Linked DNA regions of Oryzias latipes. The protein of the gene in region 1 interacts with the protein of each later gene in a pairwise test. Links are inferred from orthologs where the notes say so. Each region holds a gene or a part of one and is shown in the gene's direction. Other genes may lie near its edges.

What was found.
Region 2: the proteins of rnf41 (region 1) and enoph1 interact in binary tests that used the Homo sapiens proteins (3 or more experiments, as listed by UniProt). The link is inferred for Oryzias latipes from reciprocal best matches to the Homo sapiens genes RNF41 and ENOPH1.
Region 3: the proteins of rnf41 (region 1) and c11h1orf109 interact in binary tests that used the Homo sapiens proteins (3 or more experiments, as listed by UniProt). The two-hybrid records come from large-scale screens. The link is inferred for Oryzias latipes from reciprocal best matches to the Homo sapiens genes RNF41 and AIRIM.

The regions. Positions count from the first base shown.
Region 1 is NC_019865.2:22,245,517-22,249,739, reverse strand, and holds the start of rnf41 (E3 ubiquitin-protein ligase NRDP1), read left to right. Parts: upstream 1-1,421; 5' UTR 1,422-1,696; intron 1,697-3,372; 5' UTR 3,373-3,392; coding exon 3,393-3,482; intron 3,483-4,223. UniProt on the Homo sapiens protein: Acts as E3 ubiquitin-protein ligase and regulates the degradation of target proteins. Polyubiquitinates MYD88. Negatively regulates MYD88-dependent production of pro-inflammatory cytokines.
Region 2 is NC_019870.2:2,828,087-2,832,109, forward strand, and holds the start of enoph1 (enolase-phosphatase E1), read left to right. Parts: upstream 1-1,220; 5' UTR 1,221-1,491; coding exon 1,492-1,575; intron 1,576-4,023. UniProt on the Homo sapiens protein: Bifunctional enzyme that catalyzes the enolization of 2,3-diketo-5-methylthiopentyl-1-phosphate (DK-MTP-1-P) into the intermediate 2-hydroxy-3-keto-5-methylthiopentenyl-1-phosphate (HK-MTPenyl-1-P), which is then dephosphorylated to form the acireductone 1,2-dihydroxy-3-keto-5-methylthiopentene (DHK-MTPene).
Region 3 is NC_019869.2:20,075,806-20,079,987, reverse strand, and holds the start of c11h1orf109 (uncharacterized protein C1orf109 homolog), read left to right. Parts: upstream 1-1,382; 5' UTR 1,383-1,801; coding exon 1,802-2,079; intron 2,080-3,311; coding exon 3,312-3,491; intron 3,492-3,951; coding exon 3,952-4,070; intron 4,071-4,143; coding exon 4,144-4,182. Other genes in the region: cdca8 (borealin), read right to left, coding at 795-885. UniProt on the Homo sapiens protein: Part of the 55LCC heterohexameric ATPase complex which is chromatin-associated and promotes replisome proteostasis to maintain replication fork progression and genome stability.

The DNA.
Region 1 (4,223 bases):
ACTTCACTTAGAACAAATGGTGAGATAATACAATGTATACATAAAAAAATGACAATTTCAAGCAGCCTTTAATGTGTTTTTTATTTTTTAACTCTTGTTCTGAGATGTAGGTACTCCCAGTTGCTGCTAACAACTGATTGACCTACTTTGGGTTGGCCTATGGAATAGGGCAACTACAGAGTGGTGTTTTACAAAACTAAATCCCAGTATTTGTTGAAGATAATTTCTTTTTCCATTTCCAAATTGAAGGCTAAGATTATTACTTTATAACAATAAATGTCAGAGATGGGCTAAAAAAGTCAATGTCCCAAGAAGACAGCCTAAGGACACCTTTTCTTCTCATTTGCACTATTTTTTTTTTTTTTTTTTTTTACAGATTTGCAGTTGATGTTTGCAGGGCAATAAGACCAGCAGTTGTCTTGGCAAACAGCTAATCACAATTAAGAAAAATATGAGATTCTGCAACCAGAGATAATTCTCCACAGGATTTAACCTGTAAAGATGGCCAAACCGCCGCTCACTGTAGATGGATGTTACTTTCTGAATTTGGAAGTGGGAAGAGTCGAATACCTTGCTGACAATTCTGCCTTCAAGTCAATCAAAGTGTTAAATTTAGGGAACAATTTTGGGTGTGATTTTTATTTTTTTATGCAGGAGTGACTAATGCAGCAACAATGTTGGACTTGCAACAAACGCTGGATGAAAAATGGGACGCCATTACACAGGAGTGTGTAACCAAACTGGGGACCGGTGGCGACTGAGGCTGTTGTAGCTGACTACTGAGGTTCCTGTTTATTAAATTAATTGTTTTCTGTCTTTTGACATTTCAATCATTCAAATCACCAGCAGCAGAATTTAGAAAAATGTTCATGGTCTGGAACCCACACTCTGTATTTACAATGGCTCACATGTTCCTTTCTGCTGTTTCCTTTGGGTAAAGAATCATGAAAAGTTTTGTTAAAGTTTACTATGTATGCAGGGCATAATGTTATTAACATGATAAAAAAAATATGTCAGAAAATGTTCCATTACTTCATGAAAAAGGCAGATGAACAAAGAAAGTACAGTAACTGACATTTCCAAGATAGAAAAAAGTTTAAAAACAAAAAGAAATATCTTCAATTATTTCTATCAAATTAAACTACACAAAACAAAATAAAAATAATATACTGTAAAAACTAAAATATTTCCTGGGAAAAAAGTTTTTATTGTGTGTCAAAATCCTTAGAATGTAATCGCTTTCTGGTTTTCTAAAAACATGCCTAAATACATCTGGGTGGTCATTTTAAAGTATAACTGTTTCTCTATATGGTTAAATAAAGGTTAAATTAACACATAAAAAACGTAATCGGTCCTCGACAGCACGAAGACTATGGAATAGACCAATTTACAAACAAGAATAGGGGACAGCGGCAAAAATCTATTCCGTTTTTCAATCTCATTTCGAACACATCTTTCATAACATATATAACAGGCTAAAGGAAAAGTGATCATTAAACCCCATTGGAATATTATCAACTGTTTGATTTGAAGAACAGAATGACATAGACCTTCAGAACCTGTGGTAGAGTCCTCCTCTTCCTGCCAACGTTCAAGTGTAGGATGTAGCAAGACGTGGCTAGCACATTGCTAGCGAAGGTACAACGTTTTTAAACATTTGTAAACCTGACAAGGACCTGTTTTGCTTCATGCCTAAGTAAGTATAGTAGTGAATTTTATTTTTCTCATAGTGTTTTTTATTAAAGTCGCTTTCATAAATATTTGTGCTATCTGAGATCCGTCGGGTTAGCTTGAGTGCTAACATTCATGAAAACCACTGTTTTGGTAGATGCTAACCCTATACCTATATTTGACATAAGTCAGTTCCTAATAACCCGTGACATGTGTTAATTTTTCTTTCTGAAGAAACACTAAATTTGTTATTTACTTTTATGTGTTTGTGTAAAATAGTTTAACATTATATATTAGTAAACTGTCAAAGGGAAAAGAGCTCCACGTAGCTAACACTAGCTTTAGCGGTACGCTAACTTTTGCTAAAGCTATCGTTTAATGATGCTAAAATCGAATTGTCAGGTGAATCTAACTCGAACCGAATTGGTGTCAGTATCCTATTTGGAAAGTACTCAGATATTGAAATCCAATCCTCAGATTTTAACCCAGTATAAATGTGGATGCCGATGAGATGCGGCTGAAAAATAACACAACTTCGGCTCAAGGGCACCGCTTTTTTATGCTGCGCATCAGCAGAACTGTTATCACGTAGGCTATTTTTTTTTGTCTCGAATAGTTTGTCTTTTCATATATGGTTAAATAAAGCTCTTAAACCCCTTATATTATCTGTTCTTGACACAGTAATTCTGGGAAAGAGTTGATTTTCTGGGGGTTCTTTTAAATCACAGCTATTTAAATATGTCAGCAAACATGGGAATTTATTTCAATGCTTTTTGTCCCAAAAAGCTAAATTAAACAAATAACAAACAACTTTACATCAAGTTTTTGATTAACATTGGTCTTTATTTATTTATTTGCCAGATTTTAGCATTAACGAGCAAATAGCTGTATAGGTATAGGTATAGTTTTACTTTCTTTAAAAAAAAAATATATATAGAGAGAGAGAGAGATAGATATATATATAGAGAGAGATATTTAAGAGGTACTAAGCATTTTTTTAACTAAAGTAACTCATGCAGAGAAATAATGTTTTCACCCTTTTCTCCTTTTTGCAAGTTTGGTAATTTTATTGTATGAATGGCATGGAAAAATATGAACACAATGCTTTTTAAGTAGTCCAAAACCACAAAGCTTCTTGTTGAAGATTTTTTTTCCCATGAAACTGTTGTGCTTTTCATTTTAGTAGCTCAGATGACTAACCTCAACAAGGGTGATGGACACATTTTTGCACAGATTTGGGCTCAAACAGTTTAATTACTTGCTGTTGTAATTTTCTTCAGCTTGCTGACTGATGTTTTCAGACTTCTTGTTCTTAGTTAAATCCCTGTGAGACCTTGACTAAAGCAGTTTTATGCGGTCACATGAAGTAGATGTTTTTTTTGTTGTACAAAATAAATCCATTTGTTTATGTTTTTAAACAATTGTGTAAAGGGTAAAATCTCAGTATGCCCTACTTTTATACATCCATTTCAGCACTTATTTTATGTAAATGAAGATATTACTAAATGATTTGAAAGTCTAAAGTCATTGAAATTACATATAATTAATCATTCCCATTTAAATGCTGAAATTTAAAGTGTAAAATTGTATTAATTGACATGTATTAATACAATTGTGTTGTTTCCTTCTTTGTGCATCACAACCGTTTGAAGTACTGACATTTTACTGTTTGTTTGTGTGCTACCTGTTGTTGATGCTCAGGAGGTTGTGGGTAGTGTACCATGGGGTACGATGTTACGAGGTTCCAGGGTGAGGTGGATGAAGACCTCCTCTGTCCTATTTGCAGTGGAGTGTTGGAAGAACCAGTGCAGGCAAGTTTACTTTTACAAGGAATTGGATATACAGTGATCCCTTGCTATAACGCGGTTTGCTTTTCACGGTTTCGCTACTTCACGGATTTGCATGGTGCATTGTGTTCTGCATTCTGATTGGCTAAAAAGTCACTCCGCTTCTTCTCTACCTGTGCGTCAATAACGTTGCAGTTTAATATGTGCACGTACGTAAATCAGCTTGCCAAATTTTCATTACTACGTGCAAATTCTCTTGATGGTGGCAAGTCGGTGTATAAGGATCTTTTTGCAAAGCAGAAAAAAGAGCGACAACAACTGCCTATCACTATGTTCTTCTCCCGAACAAACACAGCTGCACCGCGGGCTTCAAAAGAAGAAAACACTGCAGAGCTGAGTCAGGATGCAGCGGCTCAGTCTGAAGAGCAGTGAAATACACCTGAGTCACTATTTGTCCCACTGTACTTTGTATTTTTTTCATAATCATTTTAAATTTTCTCCCGTTTAATCCAATACTCGGGTCGCGGTGGGCGGGGCTAATCTCCGCGATTTGAAGCCTTCTGTTCACATTCATTAAAATTATTATTTGACAGTACAGTACAGAGTTATTTGTTGAAAAAAAGGTTTCTAAAGTACTTTTATTTGTGAAACAAATGCTTGAGCCTGTAAATTGGTTTGTTCTTTCTTTTCAATGTATAATAGAGTATTTAATTGTATAATAATAGTTTAAAAAAAATAAAGGTTTCTACTTCACGGATTTTGCCT
Region 2 (4,023 bases), on another chromosome or scaffold:
AGTCGTTTCTTGTTTGTCTACTTCTGCGAATCCCAAGTGAGCATTTGAGTGCAGAGCGCCACCTGCTGCAGCGGAGATGTAACACCAGGGTAATTTGTAAATAATTGAATATTTTACATTTTTTAAAAGGGACTTTATTCAAATGAATTGTTCTCTTATTAATAAATAAATAAAGAGATTTGTTGTTTTAGTTTTGAGCCTAATTTTCCAAGATCCAATTATCTTCATCTTAAAAATCTTTAGATACAGTTCTAAATCTAAATATGAAAGACTTTTAGTATTGGACCTTTTTTTCTCTCCAAAATAATGGAAATGGTTTTAGGAGAAACCAATCAATCAATCAATACATACATACATAAATAAATAAAAAGCATGACCAACTCTATATTTGATTGTTTTGTTTAAAAATGCTAGGCAACAAAAACAAAAATAAAATTCTGAAATTGAAATGAAAGGAAAGGAAAACTGCTCAGCAAACGAGCAACCAGAAGAAAAACTTTATCAAAATCAAAAATCATACTAACACTGACACTCATGATGGCGCATCAGGGACACCATCAAAGAAGAAAAAAAGACATATGTATGAAAATAAAGTCATACAATTATTAAATAAAGTTAAAAGTTAGGAGCATTAGTTTGTACAACATGAGAACAAAGTCATACAGTTATGAAGAAAAATCTAATTTGTGAGAAGAAAGTTGTACAATTGTGAAAAATAATTCAACAATTTTCATATATAATGATAAACAAAGGCTTCAAAAAGTTGTAAAAAAATATTACATTTAGCTTTTAAAATGTGCAAAAAAACAGTTTTATACCTGATTTATCAAGAAATCTGTTTTTGTAACTGTATTTTTATGAATTTATAACTTTTATTTGACAAAAGCATGAAAAAACGTAAGTGGTTTATCAAAAATAGATGGTAATACTTATTATTTCTTGCAAAAATTGTTCTAATGCAACATATTGTGGTCTGTATTCGAAAATCTAGTGTGCATCGATCTGGTGTTGCACACTGGTTTTTCGCAGAGACTTCTGGGAAATTTGTAGGGCACTTGATTTTGGAATTTAAATGTGAATATTGGGCCATTCGATTTCGGAATAGATGCGGACAAAATGGCAAACGCACTATAGTGAGTAGTCGTCTTGTAATTCAATAGTTTGGTACTCATCACCAATTTCTGGTTTCCCCACTAAAATAAGTTTTACGACTCAACAGCGCCATCTCCCGACGCGGAGGCTAAACTGACGATGCTGAACATGTGAGCTGGTTGTTGCTTTGTAATGGTTGTCGAGCTCATGTCACGGACAGGTTGTGTCAAACGTAACTGTTTGGATTTCGATCGGTGTTGATTTTTCTGTCTGGAGAAGCAGCGAGTATCGGACCGGACCGGACCGAATCGCCGCCTGGCTGGAATCCTGCGGTGCCGCCGCCCGCTGTCCTTTAAGCTCAGACCAGCTAACGTCTCCAGCTGCTTTTTGTGATCAACAATGGCCTCTGTCTCCATCCCTGCGTGCACTGGTGCTCTGCTGTTGGACATTGAAGGCACCACCACGCCGATCACATTCGTGAAGGTAAATCTGTGGCTGGGTTCCTCCCTGCGGGGTCGTGCGGGCTACGGCTATGCTAATGGCTGCTTAAACACAATGAAAACTACAGATTTTTTTTTTTACTATTATGTATTATCATCTTTCTATTTTTATATAAGGTTATGATAGTGCAGATGGTGTAATTTATTCAACCATTTTCTCATAAATGCTTAAAAATATTAAACAAAACAACGTGCTGCCTTCACGGCCTTAGAGTATTCGTAATTCCGAGCTTTTCCTCTTGTAGTCATTGAACCTGTTTACACGCAAGTCTCCGTTCATGATGTGATTTCTTAAGATATCAGAATATTAAAGTGACAAAAAAAATGCATTCGTACTGTACACTAATGAGATATCGCATTAATATTTGTAGTATATCTCCCCGAAAGCCAATCCTTTTAGGCATTTTTCTGTCCCTTTCTCTCACATTTTGTATTTATACTTCTGCGCATGTGTAAACGAAACGTATGGAACGGAAGTTACGTAAAACCGCAAAGTTTTTATTTATTCGTTTAGGTATTAATTGTTTTTCACTAAATTTAGTGTGGTAAAATAAATGTGTCAAAAAGTGGTTTAATTTGTGAAAATAAAGAAATAAAGAAATAATAATAAAACATTTAAAACTAAATTAAAAAAATGTATCTCCTGAGAGTACTCCACAAAGTGTTCAGTGTATTATAAAACTGGAAATTTTGATCAACAGTAAACAATCCTGCCAAAAATATTCATATATGCATTCATAGAACTATTGTTCTATGTTCATATCACAGGAAGTACAGTTGTTTTCCTGAAAACTAACAGCTCCTTGCAGGTAAAGTTTATATTAATGATTTTTAAATGAGTTAACACAATTTGCATTTTGCAGCAACAGGAAATTTAACAAAGTGGGGCCTTAACTTGCTCACTTCCTCTTTTGTCTAGGTATGTAACAATATCTTACAAAAAAAAACTATAAATGAACCTGAGAATTTGGGATTACCGTAGTAATAGTTTGACCATTAATCAACAGAAAAAGGAAGCAGCAAAGATTACTTTTCTTTCCTTAATACTATTGTATTGTTTTCTTGAATTTAATTTAATCCTTATACAGAAAATAAAAAAAGGTAAATGTTCCCACTGTTATCAATACTTTATTAATAATAATGAGCAATCTGACCAATTCTGTAAAATACACATTTGTTTTATATGAAATGTTTGGACAATTCCATATGGGATTTAAGTAATCCTGGATTCTTGCTCCTTTTTTCCAGATGAATTTGACGTTTGGTTGGTTGATGACTTTTTTTTGGTTTAGGTAGATGTTTTTTTTTTGGATAGATGACTCGCTCATTCCATTTTAGTGATAAAACCTGGGGCACAAAGGGAAATGTCACCTACACGTTTAGGTTAATCTGACGCTTTTCTAAAGTTTTCCTCCGCTGTTTTGGAATCTTTGGAAACGTCGTTTCAACTGCCGGTCCTTTAAGCCAAAAGGACGTTTGTGGATTCTTTCCCAGACCGTGTCGACTGACAGACACATCAGCTCTAGACTGTCAGCGTTTTGGTTTTAAAGGAACAGGAAGTTTAAAAGTAACAGAATCGCGAGCCTTACTGTGGTGAATGTTGTAAAATCAGATTTTGTTACGTCATGTTAACCAAGACCTTTAAAAAAAAGGAAAGAATCATTTCAATCTTCAATTTGCATTTTTATTTGGTAATTTCTGGTTTTAAGATCTTTGTGGGTGTGATAACAACCTCAATGAGTCTGCATAAAAATCAAAACTGATGCCTTTACTTGCATCAGTTTTTCCTAGTTTAAATGACTCAATCTTTTTGTTAAGTCTTATTTATCCACTAAAGTGGTTCAGGACTTTTTGATTTTTTTAAAGTTATTATAATAAAAAATGTTTATTTAAAAAAAAAAAAAACAGTTAAAAAGGCCAGAATTAGCCTAGGGCCAGTTTTCATCAGTAATCCCCTGAACATGATGTAAAAAAAAAGCTCAGAGATAAACACGTTCAGCTTGTTCAAATGACTAGAGTTTAATGTTATAAATCCTTCACTCCATTGTTTTCCTGTTTCTCTTTCTTTTCTAGTATCTTCCACCATTTTTTGCAGCTTAACTTCTTCTACAATTTCTCAGCTATTTTAACTATTCAGCTATTCAAATGTTCAGCTCTTTCAGCTTTTTCCTGCTATGACTTTTGGTCCTTTAAATCCTTGAACTCTTCATGATATTCCAGGATTTTTTGCCTCCATTGTAATACATGGGGATTCTTTGGAAGCTCGCTGGTTCGATACCCGGCGCTCGCATTTTTCACAAACCTTTCTTTTTTGTTATTGTGCTGTTTTCACTTTATTTATGGTCAACTTTGACTATTTCCTCTTTAATTATTATTATTATTATTATTATTATTATTCCAATTATTACCCTTTAAGTTTCATGGACTTTCT
Region 3 (4,182 bases), on another chromosome or scaffold:
ATAAGGCTTAAATAGCATTTCTTCGTATTTAATTTTTTCAAGCTATTAAAAAATGCTAAGCTTTAAAAGATGCATATTTAATGAGTTTTGATATCAAAATTTAGATTGTTTTTTTATAGCACTTTTTCCATCCACTTCTTTATGATCCGGTTTATTGCATCATTTCGAAGGAGCAGAACTTCCTTTTTTACGTATAATTATCTTTTTAGCAACAAAACAAAAAACACAAACAGGAAATAAGCGATCAGTAAATTTACAAACAAATTCTAACTAGTTTTTGAGCACATTTTTTTATTAGTGCATGAAATTGCACATATAAGGAGAGGAACTCTTGTAGGGTCTTTCATGAAAAAAAACCTGCAATTTCCAAATGATAATAACAAATTATAACAGCTAAATGAAGTTATTTTTTGTTTTCTTTGGATTGTCTTGAAGACTCATTCATCCAGGTTGATTCCATCATAGTAGTAGGTTTAGGGGCTGTCATCTAGACTTAGTTTTTAAAGTTAGAAGATGTTTCACCCCTTATCCAAGAGGCTTTGTCAATTCTGAATTAGCTGGTAAGAGCTGGCATATATATATATATATATATATATATATATATATATATATATATATATATATATATATATATATATATATATATATATATATATCCCCAACCTGGTCAGCTCTTTCAGCTGTTACTGACAAAGGTTGAACAGGTTCGGTTTGTTGGGTTTCAGAACACTTTATTTCAGACAACAAACTGTAGGCCGAGCCTTTACTTAAGCCGAACTAGCATTGTCGTTTACCTTCGCTGTCGAAATCCTCCAAAAAAACTTCCAGTTTTTCAATTTTCTGGTTGTTCTTTCGCTGCTTCGTGGTCCTTTTCCTGGGCGCCATGTCCGCTCAGAACTTCACAAACAGGAGAAAACTGTGAAACGTTGTTTTCGAGATGGAAAAAAATAAGCCGCCGAGGACGTTAGCAGCTATGTTGTTAGCTTTGGAATCGGCAGGAGTTTATCCGGCAGATTAATTTACTCCCGTTTTCATTCTTTGGTCTCACTTATGATATAAATGTTTTTAGATTCAATTCGTCTGAGTTTGAAGCGGGTTTTCTTACAAAGGTAACAGTTGTGTGGGTTTCCCTCTGGCCTGCCTTCTTCGCGAAGTCGTTTTCAAATGTCCGCGCGAGGCGGAGCCAAGACACAAATCCAGCCAATCAGGACGTGGATTGAGCCCCGTCATCAGGGTTCGGCACTGCGAATGTTCAATGCTGCGTTCGAAGACAACTCGGGAAAAAATGAATCGTCCCCTGATGGAAAGCGTTTCAGTAAGAATCAAAAAAAGCATTTTTGTAAAACAGCTGAAGGGCAGGAAATACTAAAAATAGTCACCAAGTAAAAAGTTTTTTTAACTCACAATTACAATTTACCCAATTTAACCAAGATAAATAGCAACTTCCTACAGACATGCCTGTGATTATAAATATAAAAAAAAGTTCTCAAAAAGTCCAGAAGCATTAACAAAACCAGTGGGAAAATATATCAATAAAATGTATGTATGTGTGTATGTAGATTTAAAAAGGAGAGCACGAAAAAATACAATTTTCCGAAATCAAGTGCCTTTTTTGAGGAGCTACTGTATTTATGGGGCACCGTATCTCCAAGGATCAGTAAAGGCAGCATATGTCACTACTTGACACCGGAAGCGCTTTCTGGTTCTGCGCAGAAAAGTAGTGCAGAATTTTGCTGAGGCTTTCAGACTTGGTCAGAACTATATTTACAGTCCCATCCAAGCCAGAGCGGAGGCCGAGGGCATGTCTGACATCTCCCGACCGACGCTCAGCGCCCTCCACCAGGCGTTCAGGAACAGCTTCGCCGCGCTGGAGAGCAACCAGCGGCTGTGGGGGAGCGAGCTAGCGGAGTGCAGCCCTCTCCTGGGGTCTCTGGGGAACCTAGCGGAGCAGATGAGAGCTCTCTCTAACGTGCGGGTCTCCAGCACGCCGCTCGGAACCTTCCCGAAGCTGGAGGAGCGGCTGCGCTTCAAACTGCAGGAGGCCGCGGACACGGTGCTGGAGAAACTCAACGAGAAGATGTGAGACACGCGACAACTCCACACACACGCGCCTCTCGGATGACGTCATCACAGGGACTCCTGTGACGTTGAAAAGACTATTAGCTCTGTTTTTTGTGACAGCATAAAAAAAGTTTGTTTCAAAATAAGAGCTCCTGTAGTACAGATACTAGCACCAAACCATATATTACAATTTCCGTTTAAAGAAAATATTAAAGATAAAACCCCAAATCAAAATAAGCCACATAAGACCTTTACCAGAAACTAGAACCATCATTAAGCTACGTTCACACCGCCCTCAGCGATGCGCGTTCAAGAAACCACCAATAAAAAAAATGTAAATTTGCATTTTGGTTTAAACTCTTGAAGTTTCTACGATAATTTCTGAGCTCTGTATGTACAAAAAGTGCATCTATTAAATGTACCTTAAAAGTTAAACCAGGTCGAACTTTGACCAATTAGGGACTCAGATTTGGTAGTGACGCATGGATGGCACCCCTTTAAATTTACGGAAACACCAACCGTTTGAAAGTTGACCATGGAGGACAAATTAATGATTTTGATTTGATTCCAGTCGGAATATATGACACTAAATCTTTCATATATTGGACTAGAGATGCGAAAAGAAAAAGCCTGGAGTCAGATATACAAGAGATTTGCACCACTTTGACATTTCGCACCAAGACTCTGCCAACTGTAGGTGGAAGACAAGTCATGGTCAATTGTAGAAGAAGGAGAAGCCCCAACCCACTAGCACTGTGTGAACACTATGGGTTAACATGTTCTGGAACGCGTGTCTTTTTTTTTCTTTTTTTTTTTAAATGGTTTATTTCAACCAATCAAATAAGAACAATACACAACAACAATACAATCATCAGTTATACATTCATACAATGACGAATCAAACTTAGGATATTTAGACATATTAATAAATATTGCTTGAAAGGGAGTGGAAGGAAGCGAACGTATATAATCCCACCCCGTTATACCGTGTCATATGCCAGGTGTGTCCATAGCAGAGACAGTGCTGATGCATTCAGGGACATCATGGTTTTTTCTTCTGCTCCTCATTCACAGCAATTTGAATAAAGACATTTTCAGATTGCCAATTTTAAGCATACTTTTCTTTATGTATGTCCTCGATCATCAGAAAAAGGCCGCAAAAACTTGTCAAAACAGATAAAAACATGATTTTTATCAGTCTTCAAGGGCTTCCTTGTCCGAGGACTAAGACAGACTCCTTTCCTTCTCAGGTGTCGTCTGCAGTCTGCCAGAGACGCCATCAGTAACCAGGTGAGGTCCGTCATGCAGCTGTATGAGCAGAACGCCACCAGTTTGGACCTGCAGGCCGTCACAGAGCGCTCCGCCGTCACCCCGTCAGTCGCAGACATGCTGGAGTGGCTTCAGGACGCCGAGCGCCACTACAGGCAGCAGTATCCTTCCTGTCTGTGCTGTTGGTACGGTCCGCAGCATTCATGGACGGCAAGGACCGGATTGTTTTTGCAATTCTTTTTTTCTGAGAGCGAAACGGCAAATGCTAAAATATTTACCAAGATCTGCACAGACCCGGTACCCGCTGCATAGGAAGGCTTGACATAGTCCACCCCCTACACACACAAACAAACAAACTAACAAATAAAATAAAATAAACATTCCAGTGGGAGAAACCATCACAAAAATGAATGGGGCAAAGATCTCTAATGGGGTTCAAAAAATATATTTCAAATCCTTCAATCAAAGCCAAAACGGAGGATATCCATAGAAAACTTTAAAATTATGATTATGATCATGCCCTCCAGGGCAAAACAAAAGTTGGCGGCGAGGGCGGGGAATGGTAGAGCCAGCAGTCTGTTTTTTTGTTTCTGTCTTCTGCTCTCCTGAGCTCATGTTCAGATTCCTGCAGAGGAAAGTTCTGCTGCAAACGCTCAGACCCAACGACCTCGCTCTGCTGGAATCCCTTCCTGAGAGGTGGAAGTCCCTGGAGTCTCCTGACGGCGAGCAGCGAATCACAGGTAACATTAACTGTCCGAAGCTTGAAACGCGAGCTCCGCCAACTCTGAGATGTGGGACTCTTGTCTCCTGCAGAAACACTTTGCAGAGTGTCATTTTTCCTGGAGCTGGAGT